Macaca mulatta: one gene and its partner. The protein of the gene in region 2 purifies or fractionates together with the protein of the main gene of each other region. This does not show direct contact. Links are inferred from orthologs where the notes say so. Each region holds a gene or a part of one and is shown on either strand. Other genes may lie near its edges.

The links.
Region 1: the proteins of TUBA1A (region 2) and IRS4 purify together in Homo sapiens (affinity purification with mass spectrometry; 3 studies listed by BioGRID and IntAct, with this or other methods). This does not show direct contact. The link is inferred for Macaca mulatta from reciprocal best matches to the Homo sapiens genes TUBA1A and IRS4.

The regions. Positions count from the first base shown.
Region 1 is NC_133426.1:115,539,194-115,545,051, forward strand, and holds the start of IRS4 (insulin receptor substrate 4), read right to left. Parts: upstream 3,683-5,858; 5' UTR 260-3,682; coding exon 1-259. UniProt on the Homo sapiens protein: Acts as an interface between multiple growth factor receptors possessing tyrosine kinase activity, such as insulin receptor, IGF1R and FGFR1, and a complex network of intracellular signaling molecules containing SH2 domains.
Region 2 is NC_133416.1:56,350,792-56,356,512, forward strand, and holds the start of TUBA1A (tubulin alpha-1A chain), read right to left. Parts: upstream 3,547-5,721; 5' UTR 3,457-3,546; coding exon 3,454-3,456; exon of another isoform or gene 2,898-3,453; coding exon of another isoform or gene 2,895-2,897; intron 1,250-2,894; coding exon 1,027-1,249; intron 905-1,026; coding exon 756-904; intron 441-755; coding exon 1-440. UniProt on the Homo sapiens protein: Tubulin is the major constituent of microtubules, a cylinder consisting of laterally associated linear protofilaments composed of alpha- and beta-tubulin heterodimers.

The sequences.
Region 1 (5,858 bases), on a different chromosome or scaffold from region 2:
TCCGCAGGTAGCCGCGTTTGCAGACTTCCTCCCCGACGGGGAGGTCCTCCTCGTCGGACTCGGAGTCTGACCGGGAGCCAGTGGCCGTGGAGAGCCACATGGCTCCCGGACAAGACGACCCGGTCCCAATGAGTGCGGTCGGGGTTCCCGAGGAAAGAAGCGGGGTGGTCACCACTGCTGCTAGAGCTGCCGCTGCTGCCGCTGCTGCACCTCTTAGTCTTCTTGTCGCTTGGTCGCGAGTGAAGGAGCAACTCGCCATGGTGATGCACGATGGTTTTAAGGTGAGCGAGGAGGAGGGGGAATTCAGGAAAGGGAGGGTTGAGGGAAGAGGCTGTCTACCCCCGTTTGCCCGCCCCAGCCCCCTCCTGCCTTGGCCCGCGCCCCCGCCCACTCCACTCTAAGCGCACGACAGCGGGCAAAACAACACGTGACCGAAGCCTCACGCGGCGGCCGCTGCGGATCCTGCTACCGGCGCAATGGAGGGGCGCGAGCGGCCACCAGTAGAGGTGTGCAAGGGAGGAGGCGGCGGGCTTGGGAGGCGGAGCCACCTCCAGCTGTGCCAACACCCTCCCGGTGAATCTCCAGGCCTGTGGGCCAAGAGAGGACTAAGAGGAGGAGGCGGGGCTCTCTGGCCAAGCAGATTCTACCCCGGAGTCGAGGAAGGCATGAGCGGGCGGGAGAAGGCCTGGAGGTGCAGAGGAGAAAGCGGCCGGCTATCAGGGCTGGGAGAGGGCGCCACAGTCGGGGCCCCATTGGTGGGAGGTGGTTGGGGGGGCGCGGAGCGCAAGCAGTGCCGGCGGCGCCGGGGTGCAGAGCCCGCACAGTCGCCGGACGGTTTGTTTGTTTATTTGGGAAGCGGGAGCCAGGTGAAACTGTTGCAAGGCTCTGATTGGCTGGAATAGGAGCCAATGGGAGGGTCCGGCAAGAAGGCAGTCCCGAATTCATTAGTTTGGCGGGAGGGAGGGGTGAGAGGGGAGAGGGGGCGTGGCTGGGGTCCCAAAGTGGCTTCGCTGTCGGCTTGTGGCGCTCTCAGGCGGTAAACAACCTTACGCAAATAGCTGTTAATGGTGGTGGTAAACTCGTGCAAATCCCAGAGCCATGGTGACCCGGGACGGAGTCGGGTGCCCTGGTATTCCCTGTCAATCACATAAATTCTCTGTTCCTGTCACAGTCTGGTTTATTCTTTCCAGTCGCTCACGGCGGCTGGTCGAGCTTCTTGGGAAAAAGTGTCGGCACCCCTTGAAAGCGGGTTGATGACCCGGGCGCTCAGACCCGCTTCCCACCGCGCTGCAGGCACTCCCGAGCCCGCTCCACCCCTGACGAAGCCCGCGACTCTAAGGCACACGAATAACCACGATGAATTCAAAATGAACATGATCTTTATTAATCAGAATGCACTTCTAGCCCACGAAACACAGGTTCCCTAAATACAGTGTTTCTGCCTATTTGATTAACGATGACTACGAAAGCACAAATTTGGGGGCCTGCAATGTATACAGCCATATTGGAAAAGATTGGACTCGATTCTTACTGAAATAACCAGTGTTGGGCTGTGAGGTATTTTTCTGTGGGAAATGCTTTGGAAGGTGCCTTTAAAAGAATCTCAAAATATTGCTTTCCTTTCCTTGAGCGAGACCGAAAAACTTTAGAAAAAGAAAAGCTCATACCTAGAACAAAGGACCACGCTGAATGCATATTCTAGAGCGCATTTCACATCCCTCGCGTCAACAAGAAGAAGGTGAGGAGCTTTGATGCATTTCAGTCTACAAGTTGACATCACAAAAGTAAGAGCTGCTGCCTCCCTAATTTCTGGAAAAACTGCCAGAGTGTAAGTGCAACCTCCTGAAGTCTCTCTCTCTCTCTCTCTCCCCCTTTCTCTCTCTCTCTCTCTCTCCCCCCCGCCCCCCTCTCTCCCTCACCACCCCAGTTATTTCTTGACTAGAATTTTAGACTCCTCTCCCTCTCTCCCCCACCACCCCAGTTATTCCTTGACTAGGATTTCAGACTCTTAATGGTGGAGATGGGTCGTGAATTATCAAAGGAGTGACCACGTTTGCAAAGAGGAATGGAGGGACAGGAGGAAATAACAGCATTTCTCTCTGAAAGAATGGAATGTCAGTTCACCCTTGCTCTAGGGTTGATACGGCAAAGGGTACTATTTTATAAAATCCCACAGTAAACTAGGCAATGTGTATATCATAAAAATAAACCGTATCTCTGCCCTCTTAAGAATTTGCTCTCTGTTAGAAACAGAACACACGTATTTGAATAAATGGCTCCTTTTTGATGCTATAATTTAAGAGAAAGAAAAATTGGTTTTGGTTGTCCCCCAGATATTACAAACATTCAATAACATTCCCTCTGCTGCAAATGGTTTATAAGTGCAATATATTCACAGGTGCCGGAAGCAGCCGTGGTTTCGGAAGGGAGCTAGAGGCAGAACCAGAGTGGATGCTGAGAGCCCTGTCTGTGACTGTTACATATTTCAGCTGCGTAGTCACATACATACAAGATTCCCTGCATTTATAACCAAAATGATAACAAATGCTCTCATTTGGGATTTTGTTTGATAGTCATTAGGATATTTTATAAGTCTTTCCAAGCACAAGGTTCTTCTCTTTTTTTTTTTTAAAGAGAAATGTGACAAATAAGGCAACATATTTGAAAGTGCTTTGACTAATAACATGACATTGAAAATATCAAAATGAATATTAAAACAAATGGGAAAATACTGGAGATTTTTTAATCCTCATGTCCTTTTTCCTGTACATATAGAGTTTTTACAAAGAGCAGTAGGCTTACAATTTATATAATTTTGCATCCTGTTCTTTTCACTTAACATTATACAATATTTTCCCATATTATTATGCATCAGCCTAAATATCATTTAAAAGCAACATGTTATCCAACACAATTAATGTATATTAATGTAATTAATCATCTACTTTGGGGCATTTGTTTTCATTTTTTTCAGTATTATAAATAACATGTCAATGAATATCTTGTATCTACAGCCTTTTAAAATTCCCATTGGGTAAAAACTGAGCACTGGAATTAGTAGGCTAAAAGATATGAATATTTAATACATTATTTTTCAAAAATATCATATTAGTTTACACTGTCACCAGACTGATTGTCACTTTGGACATTCTTATTTTTAAAAAATCAGAGATAAGATGAGTGAAATGGTATTCCACTATTCTTTTTTTTTTTTTTTTTTTTTTGAGATGGAGTCTTATCCTATCACCCAGGCTGAAGTGCAATGGCATGATCTCAGCTCACTGCAACCTCGGCCTCCTGGGTTCAAGCAATTCTCCTGCCTCAGCCTCCCAAGTAGCTGGGATTACAGGTGCCCACCACCATGCTCAGCTACTTTTTGTATTTTTAGTAGAGAAGGGTTTTCACCATGTTGGCCAGACTGGTCTCGAACTCCTGACCTCGTGATCCACCTGCCTCAGCCTCCCAAAGTGCTGGGATTACAGGCCTGAGCCACCGTGCCCGGCCTGCACTATTCTTTCAATGTGCATTTTTTTTTTTTTTTTTTTTACTAGTGAGATGAAACATTTATATATATTTACTGACATTGTATTATTTCCTATAATGTGTTCTTTGTGTTGTCTATTGTATTCTTAGTATTTTCTTCTTATGTTTAACTTGTTTACATAATAAATACATTAAAACTCTGTGGTATTTGTTGCAAGTTTTTTTTTTCCTACTCTGTTGACTTTAAAAATCACATTTAACCTGATTCTCTTCTGTTTTGAAAGATATGTAAATTTGGCACAATGTGGTTTGTAACACAGTTTGAAAGGGAGCTGTTGATACAAATGTCACCATGGTCACTTTTAAACTTCTTTTAAAAGATCTCATATATTTCAGCTTATATGCTCTTTTAAAAGGAGAAATGTTTCTTCTCTTGTCAACAAATTATAAGAGAGCATCTAAACTAGTTAAATTTTATCACTCTGAAATAATACTTTATGAGACATTTTCTATTTTAAGGGGAAATATCAAGCATTAATCAATGTGTTAAAAAAAAAGTGTGAAAATAATTTCTAAACTATTACAGTGAAAGATGAACAGTGCTGATCATTTTGTACCAAGGGTATATTATTTGGCTGCAGCAAAGTGGAATTAGAGCTATAGTGAGATGCTTCACAGAGGAATTTTACTTTGTATATTTCCTACAGTGGAAGATAATCTGGCAAGCATGAGTGCTTGTAAACAGGGAGAATGTCTGACTAGAACATTATTTTCTTCCTATAGGTCAACCAAGCCTTCTCAGTCCTAATGTTATCTCAACACTGAAGCTCTGTAGAGCAGACCAGCATTACTGAATTGTACCAGATGCTAGAGCTTGTCGGACATATATTTAAATTTTCATTTTCCTGGACAACTTAATGATATAGAATAGTCATTTAGTTTAGGTCAGATTCTCATAGGCAAAGTAAAACAGATATCTAGATGGTTTAGGCAAAATATAGAGAATTTTTATTTGGCTTGAACTCACCAGATGGTGGCTTTAATGCTCTAGCCTCTTTTGGTTATAGATTCCTGTCTCTTATTTTTTTTTTTTTGGTTTTTGTTTTTATTGTAGGACAGTTTATCCCAGAAGGCTAAAGTTGCCTTGCATATTCATTTATTACAACTGTAAAGTTTGGAATCTGCACAAAGAGTCTGAAATACAGATTTTTAAAACAACAGATAATAAATAATAAGACTTAAAAAAGAGTTCTTGTTTCAGTTTGCCAATTCAACTCAAGGGATAAAAAACAGAAGCATTGTAACTGGCATTTTACGCCTATAAACTAATGTAAATGGATAAATAGCCACAATATCTTTAACACCGATTCCAGCTAATGAAGAAATATATGCCTTTAATGATGTGTGCTTTTAAAAGGAATTTCCTGTGAATCCTGTTTTAAGAAAGCAGTTGTCTGAATTGACTTGTCAGTGATAACAAAAAATTCATCTGCTTCTTTTCTTACATACATGATCATGAATGTTCTAAACTCAACTTGTACTAAAAATGGGTAATTGAAGTGTGGATTTATTTAGTTTAAAAATTAAGCTGTTGTATTAAATATGGATTACATTATTCAAGAGAATAAAACCTAAGAGGAAAAGTAACCAGTATAAAAGAACTATTATTCTTGCCCCATGTATAAATTATCTTGTAAGTGTTAACTCTATAAGCTTCATGAGCTAACGTCCAATTATGTTGATAAAAATGTGGTGCTACCCTTGATATTAAAAAATCATGTTAGTGATGACGATTGCTTCTCTGTGTTGGGACATAAATCACGTAGAGTGAAAGATGCTTTCTACACTATGCAGGAATAAGGGCTGCCCTGTGATTTGTGGCTGCAGCCACTGTTTGCAGATGATGGCTTTGCTTCTCAGCTTTACTTCTGTGCTACTCAAAACCTCTGCTGGAGAAAACAAGCATCAAATGCCTGACTGCTGCACACAGAACAGGTCTGTTTGCTGCCTTTGTTTCCTAGCAGTCTCCAGCGAAAGTAATTAGAGCAAATACGTGGTTTAATTAGGCTCCTAAAGCTTTCCTGTTATCTTAAGAGTCAACTTAAAATTAACTTAGTTAAAAATCAAGCATTTCTTCCCATCTTCAAAAGATAAAAGTTTCATTTGGAAATAACTTTTACTAAGTAAGATAAACATCAGAACAATGAGGTCTGCTAGGTTTCACATAAATTTCAATGATTTAACATCATATATGTTCTCTATGCTAATATAAATCAACAATAGAAAATTTAGCTTAATGCTATGTTCTTCCTTATTAATATCATATAGCAGCATTTTTCTTAGTGTGAAAAGCCTATCAATTCATACTGCCTTGA
Region 2 (5,721 bases):
TATGTGGCCAGAGGGAAGTGGATGCGGGGGTAGGGCACCAGGTTGGTCTGGAATTCTGTCAGGTCAACATTCAGGGCTCCATCAAATCTCAGGGAAGCAGTGATGGAGGACACAATTTGACCTATTAACCTATTCAGGTTAGTATAGGTTGGACGCTCAATATCAAGGTTTCTACGACAGATGTCATAGATGGCCTCATTGTCTACCATGAAGGCACAATCAGAGTGCTCCAGGGTGGTGTGGGTGGTGAGGATGGAGTTGTAGGGCTCAACTACAGCTGTGGAAACCTGGGGCGCTGGGTAAATGGAGAACTCCAGCTTGGACTTCTTGCCATAATCAACTGAGAGACGTTCCATGAGCAGGGAGGTGAACCCAGAACCAGTTCCCCCACCAAAGCTGTGGAAAACCAAGAAGCCCTGAAGACCGGTGCACTGGTCAGCCTATTACAAAAGAGAGAAACAGAGGAAAGGTTAAGTTTTTGTTCTTTGTAGTACAATCATAGGAAATATATTTTCACTTTTCATACATCTCCCAGGATTTAGATCTTATTTTGACAAATGCTTTTTAAAAAATTCTCATTAACATTTACAAAATGATACCAAATAGTTCATTTTAACTGATAAAAACCCCACAAGAACGACTCATTCCACTCTTTATTAAAATAACAGTTCAATTCTGTTTGAAAAAAAAAAAGCAGTATTTCAAATGTGTTCTTTAGGCTCATTAATTTACTTTATTCTTGAAAAGAAACATACCAGCTTACGAATTCGGTCCAACACAAGGTCAATGATCTCCTTGCCAATGGTGTAGTGCCCTCGGGCATAGTTATTGGCAGCATCTTCCTTGCCTGTGATGAGCTGCTCAGGGTGGAAGAGCTGGCGGTAGGTGCCAGTGCGAACTTCATCTGGAGAAGGAGGGAGAGAAGGATGGAGGGAGTGGGTGAGTGGGTGACTAGCGGAGCCCCCCAGGACAGACCTCCTGTCCCAGCATCCTGGGATCTCACTTGGGTTACTGAGGTCAACTCACCAATGACCGTGGGTTCCAAGTCTACAAACACGGCCCGGGGCACATGCTTGCCAGCGCCCGTCTCACTGAAGAAGGTGTTGAAGGAATCATCTCCTCCCCCAATGGTCTTGTCACTTGGCATCTGACCATCGGGCTGGATGCCGTGTTCCAGGCAGTAGAGCTCCCAGCAGGCATTGCCAATCTGGACACCAGCCTGGCCAACATGGATGGAGATGCACTCACGCTGTGGGAAGGAAAAGTGAAAAAATTGTAAAATTAAGGCGTATTAGCATTTCAAACTTTTAGTAAACTTTTAAAAATATTTCTAATAATATACAGATATTTTTCAAAATTATTTGAGGTCACATCCCTAGCACGATACAAAGATTAAGGAAAATGACCTGCTGCAAATGCTGCATATGGGTGTGGTCTGAATAATGATGTCGCCTTGGCCCTGTTCAGCACATGGTACCAGCCCATTGTGCCTACTACCATGCTTGAATAAAAGACTTTTCATATTTAAAAAGTATTCAGTATTCAAAGCACAAATTTTGTAAAATGAAGTAAATTCAATTATGACATAATTGGGATTAATTTTACTGCTTTCTTCCCTTTTAAATAAAGAAGAAAGTTTCTTCTGAATAGGACTGACTTGATATTATAACATGGACATCTGTACTGCAGCTGAGGCAAGAAGCCACACCCTTCTGCAGTCTGTCTGCAGAATCCATCAATACAAGGGGTTTAGACAAGGTCTGCTTCTGCCTTCTGCATTGCTGCATTGCTGTATTTGCTGTGCCTGGTGCTAGCCTGTACTGTCTGCTACATTATTTAACAGAGCAAGCTCTATTTCCAGCAACTGCCTACATGATCTCATTGTGCTGTTTTGCCAGTTTTCCTCCTCTGACCCCGCCCGGGACCATGTGCCTGAATTGAAATGAATTAATGAAGATGCACTAGAACAAAAGACAACGGGATGCGGAGTATAATTCTTTGTCTGTAGCAATTTCATTCCTTTTTTTAAAGAAAAAGGTTTTTCCAGATCTTCTCCACTGTAAAAGCTGAAAAATTATCCGTATCTTAAAACACACACACACACACACACACACACACACACACACGTTCCTAAGTTAGAAACAAGCATCACATGAAAAGGTAGCAAACAAAGAATAAAAGCCCAGTGGAACGATAGTGAAATATTTATTTAAAACAACAAAATAGTATTTTAATCCTGAGATTCTCTACCCACCACATAATATTCATATTCTTTGCATCCAATAGAGGTTTTCTTCTCTGTGGTCTTTAGGGCTACCACTTTCATTGTCTATTCGCTGATGTGGTGGGGGCGGGGCGGAGGGGGGCGGCGGGGAAGGGCGTTTCCCTGGTCCTGACCATCAGGGTACCCTGGGGCTCACAAAGTGGGCTTTCTCCCTCGCTGAACGAGCAGCGCGCGCACACACACACACACACACACACACACACACACACACACACGACCATCAGGGTACCCTGGGGCTCACAAAGTAGGCTTTCTCCCTCGCTGAACGAGCAGCACGCACGCACACACACACACACACACACACACACACACTTCAGTCGGTCAGGGCAGGGCGTCCCCAGACCAGACATTAAAGAGTTTGTCAAGTGAATTGTGATTTTGCTCAAGAGAAAAAAAAAAAGGTCATCTTAATTATAATAGCGAAGAAAACCCTTTTGGAGCCTACAGTTCCGCAATGATGAAAAGTTTTTTTTAAGTCAGCTCCTGACAGAGGAGGTTTAGTGAGGGCGAACCCCGCCCAGTGGCTCCAACGCCATAGAAGCCAGAAACAAACAACCCCGCCCCTGCGCCGCCCTGACACCCGCTGCCGGGGGCTCCAGTAGAAACTCACCATGTTTCCCCGGGAATGTGTGGTTATCTTTCCAAAACGCCAACGACCGCGAGGGGTCTTCCCACGCTAACCCCAGGCTGCGCTTTGTTCCCGTTCCCCCTCCCACATCCCCCAGCTCGCCCAACGCCCCCGCTCTTTTTGGGTGCCTCCTCCTCTCCCGGTCCCCAGAGAACGAGGCGAGACAGAAAGGGGCCCCTCGGCGTCTGCGAAACCGTGCGCACAGACACTGGACCCAGCCGGGACGCCCGAGACCCCTCGGTTGCGGCAGACGGGCTGCCCGCGACCCCGAAAGGCTGTAGGACAACACAGGCGCCCAGGCGCCGCCTTTGTTCCTCCCCAGCGCTCTGCAGCGCCCTGGGCGCAGTCCTGGCCGGGTTCCTGCACCCGCACTGCGGCGGCGGCGGAGCTGGAGGATTTGGGGTAAAGCTAAACCTCACAAAACACACCACCACCCTCGCCCAGAGAGCTTACGAAAGAAAAGAGCTTAAAGATTTTCCAAGCAGAGCCTGGGGGCGCTGACTCCACCCAACGGCCACAAAGAGCCAAAGCCGATTCTCACCATGGTTGCTGCTTCGCGACTGCAGAGCAGATGGCGGAGACAAGGAGGAGAAGGTTGTTGCTTCTTACAGCGCGACTCTTAGGCGGTCGATGTAAGAGAACCTGCGGCACATGGGCGGATGCGGCTCCATATATACAACTCGGTCACCATGGGGATGGGCCGGGGCCTGTTCCTGTTGGTCCAGACCCCCAATCTGCCCAGAGAAGCCAGGACAGGAGACTGGTGATTGGTGCAAACGACGTGGGATGAGGTAATCTCTCCCCCACCCCTTTTTCTCTAGCATCCGTAGACTGTTTGCATCCTTTAGACAAAGAGACCGTGCAGAAGCATTCTGCCGAGCATCCATTATGGGGTGGGGTCGGGGAGGGGCGGAAGAAGAAAGGGGACTGGGGTTGGAAGACTTTATGTTGCTTAAACCCCAAAATGCAGTTAAAATTATCTATGTGAGGTTTTTTCCCCCTACCCTTAATAACAGATTTATGTTCAGATTAAATATTTAAAGGAAAATTACTGCCAGCCCCTCCCTCGCAGTATATTAAACTCGACTACATTTTGTTAGGGTTCAATATCTCTAATTGCTTTAAAAATAAAGTGGGAGAGAAAATGGGCGTAATGCTCAAAACGGTCTGGGTAATTGTGATTTTTTTTAATTTAAAAAAAACATTTAGTCATACAGTCATTCAAAATGGCTTCTCAGGTTCAACTAACTTATTTTCAGAGCTTCTTTTGCAGGCACATGCACACTCGAATAGCTAAATAAAACTGGAAGATGGAAATAATAACCATACTAAATAAAGAAGCGAACAAATAGTTCTAACATGGCAATAATCAACAGCAAGTGCACGTAGAGTAGTTATAATAGTTTACTAGAGGTATTCCTTTATGAGAAGTCTATGTAACACATTTTGTGTGGTGCATTGTCCTTTGGAATGAATCATCTTTCCTGATATAAAATTGGGAAAATACAAGGAGAAATAATTGAGCTCAGAAGTTAGTACTACATGTGTGCAGTTACATATCTGCACTGGACTTTTGTCTGGAAAGTAACAAGCAAAATAATAGTAATAACCAAGACACCAAATTAAAAAGAAGAAGAGAATAATATAATGTAAAAAGAAGACTATTTTGCAATGTTGCCTCCATCTACAGACAACTGTGAAACATCAGCTCAATAACTGCATTTACTTTTTATGCAGTTCTTATGTCAATTTGGTAAATATCCTCCTGCGAGTGGGCTTCTGACTGTGGGAATTTTAGCCAGCCTCACACCCTTGCTATTCAACTAGAGACTCTGGTGGTTGCTCAGTTGCCCCTTGGGACAAAAAGGCTTTGCTTTCACCCCTAGGAAATAAATTGGAGTAACATTGTCTTGCTATTTAGAAAGGCTCCATTCTCAGCAACGATGGGCTATGCAGAGTGAGTCACTGGATTTCGTACCACTGGATGTTGGTGATGAAATTTCAGAGGTAAGTAAGTTTGGCCACTAAAGTTGGAAATTTATTTTTTACAAATAATTTTTCCTTTTGGTTTTCAGCGGCAGATTTTCAGGGTGGGCAGCAACTACTCACACAGCACTCTGCGGAGCCCATTCATTCCTGCCAGGCTGGCAGGCTGAGCAGGGCGTGGGAGGGAGGGACTTGAGAATACAGCTGCTGCAGGTTGTGGTGTGACAATGGCGACCACGAATTTTTCTAGCCTGCCATCCACAGTTCTGCTTTACTTGTTCAATTTTGCTTCAGTAATATTTTCTGGAAAAAAAATAATATCCAAAATGCAAAAATCATTTTATCTACTTGTAACATATTTCCTAGGAAAAAATAATATTCAACATCATCTTATTTCCACCTCTTTAGCAAAAAAAAAAAAAAAAAAAAAAACAAAGAAAGCATATTTCAGAAGAGACAGGAGGATTAGGTATTTGAATGCTTCTTTCAGAACCCAGAAATATATTTAACAAAAATAAGAATTAAATGGCATAAGGAAGCCTAAGGATTAATAAGTAGCTCATTCAAAATACTTTCACAATTTTAATCATAAAATATATCAGACACTATTGGACCATAGCAACATGTACAAGTCTTTTTGGAATGAGAAGCAGAGCTTTGAATATTATTTTCTTTACAATATAAAAAGATTAATTGAGAAATATGTTATTTACCCAATAGTCTCATTTCTTTATGCAATTTCCCAAGATTAAATAAAAGAGAGGAGTGTTCACGTGGTTGATTCTTTGTAATTCTATCTCAGAGCCATTCTGTTCCTTATGTA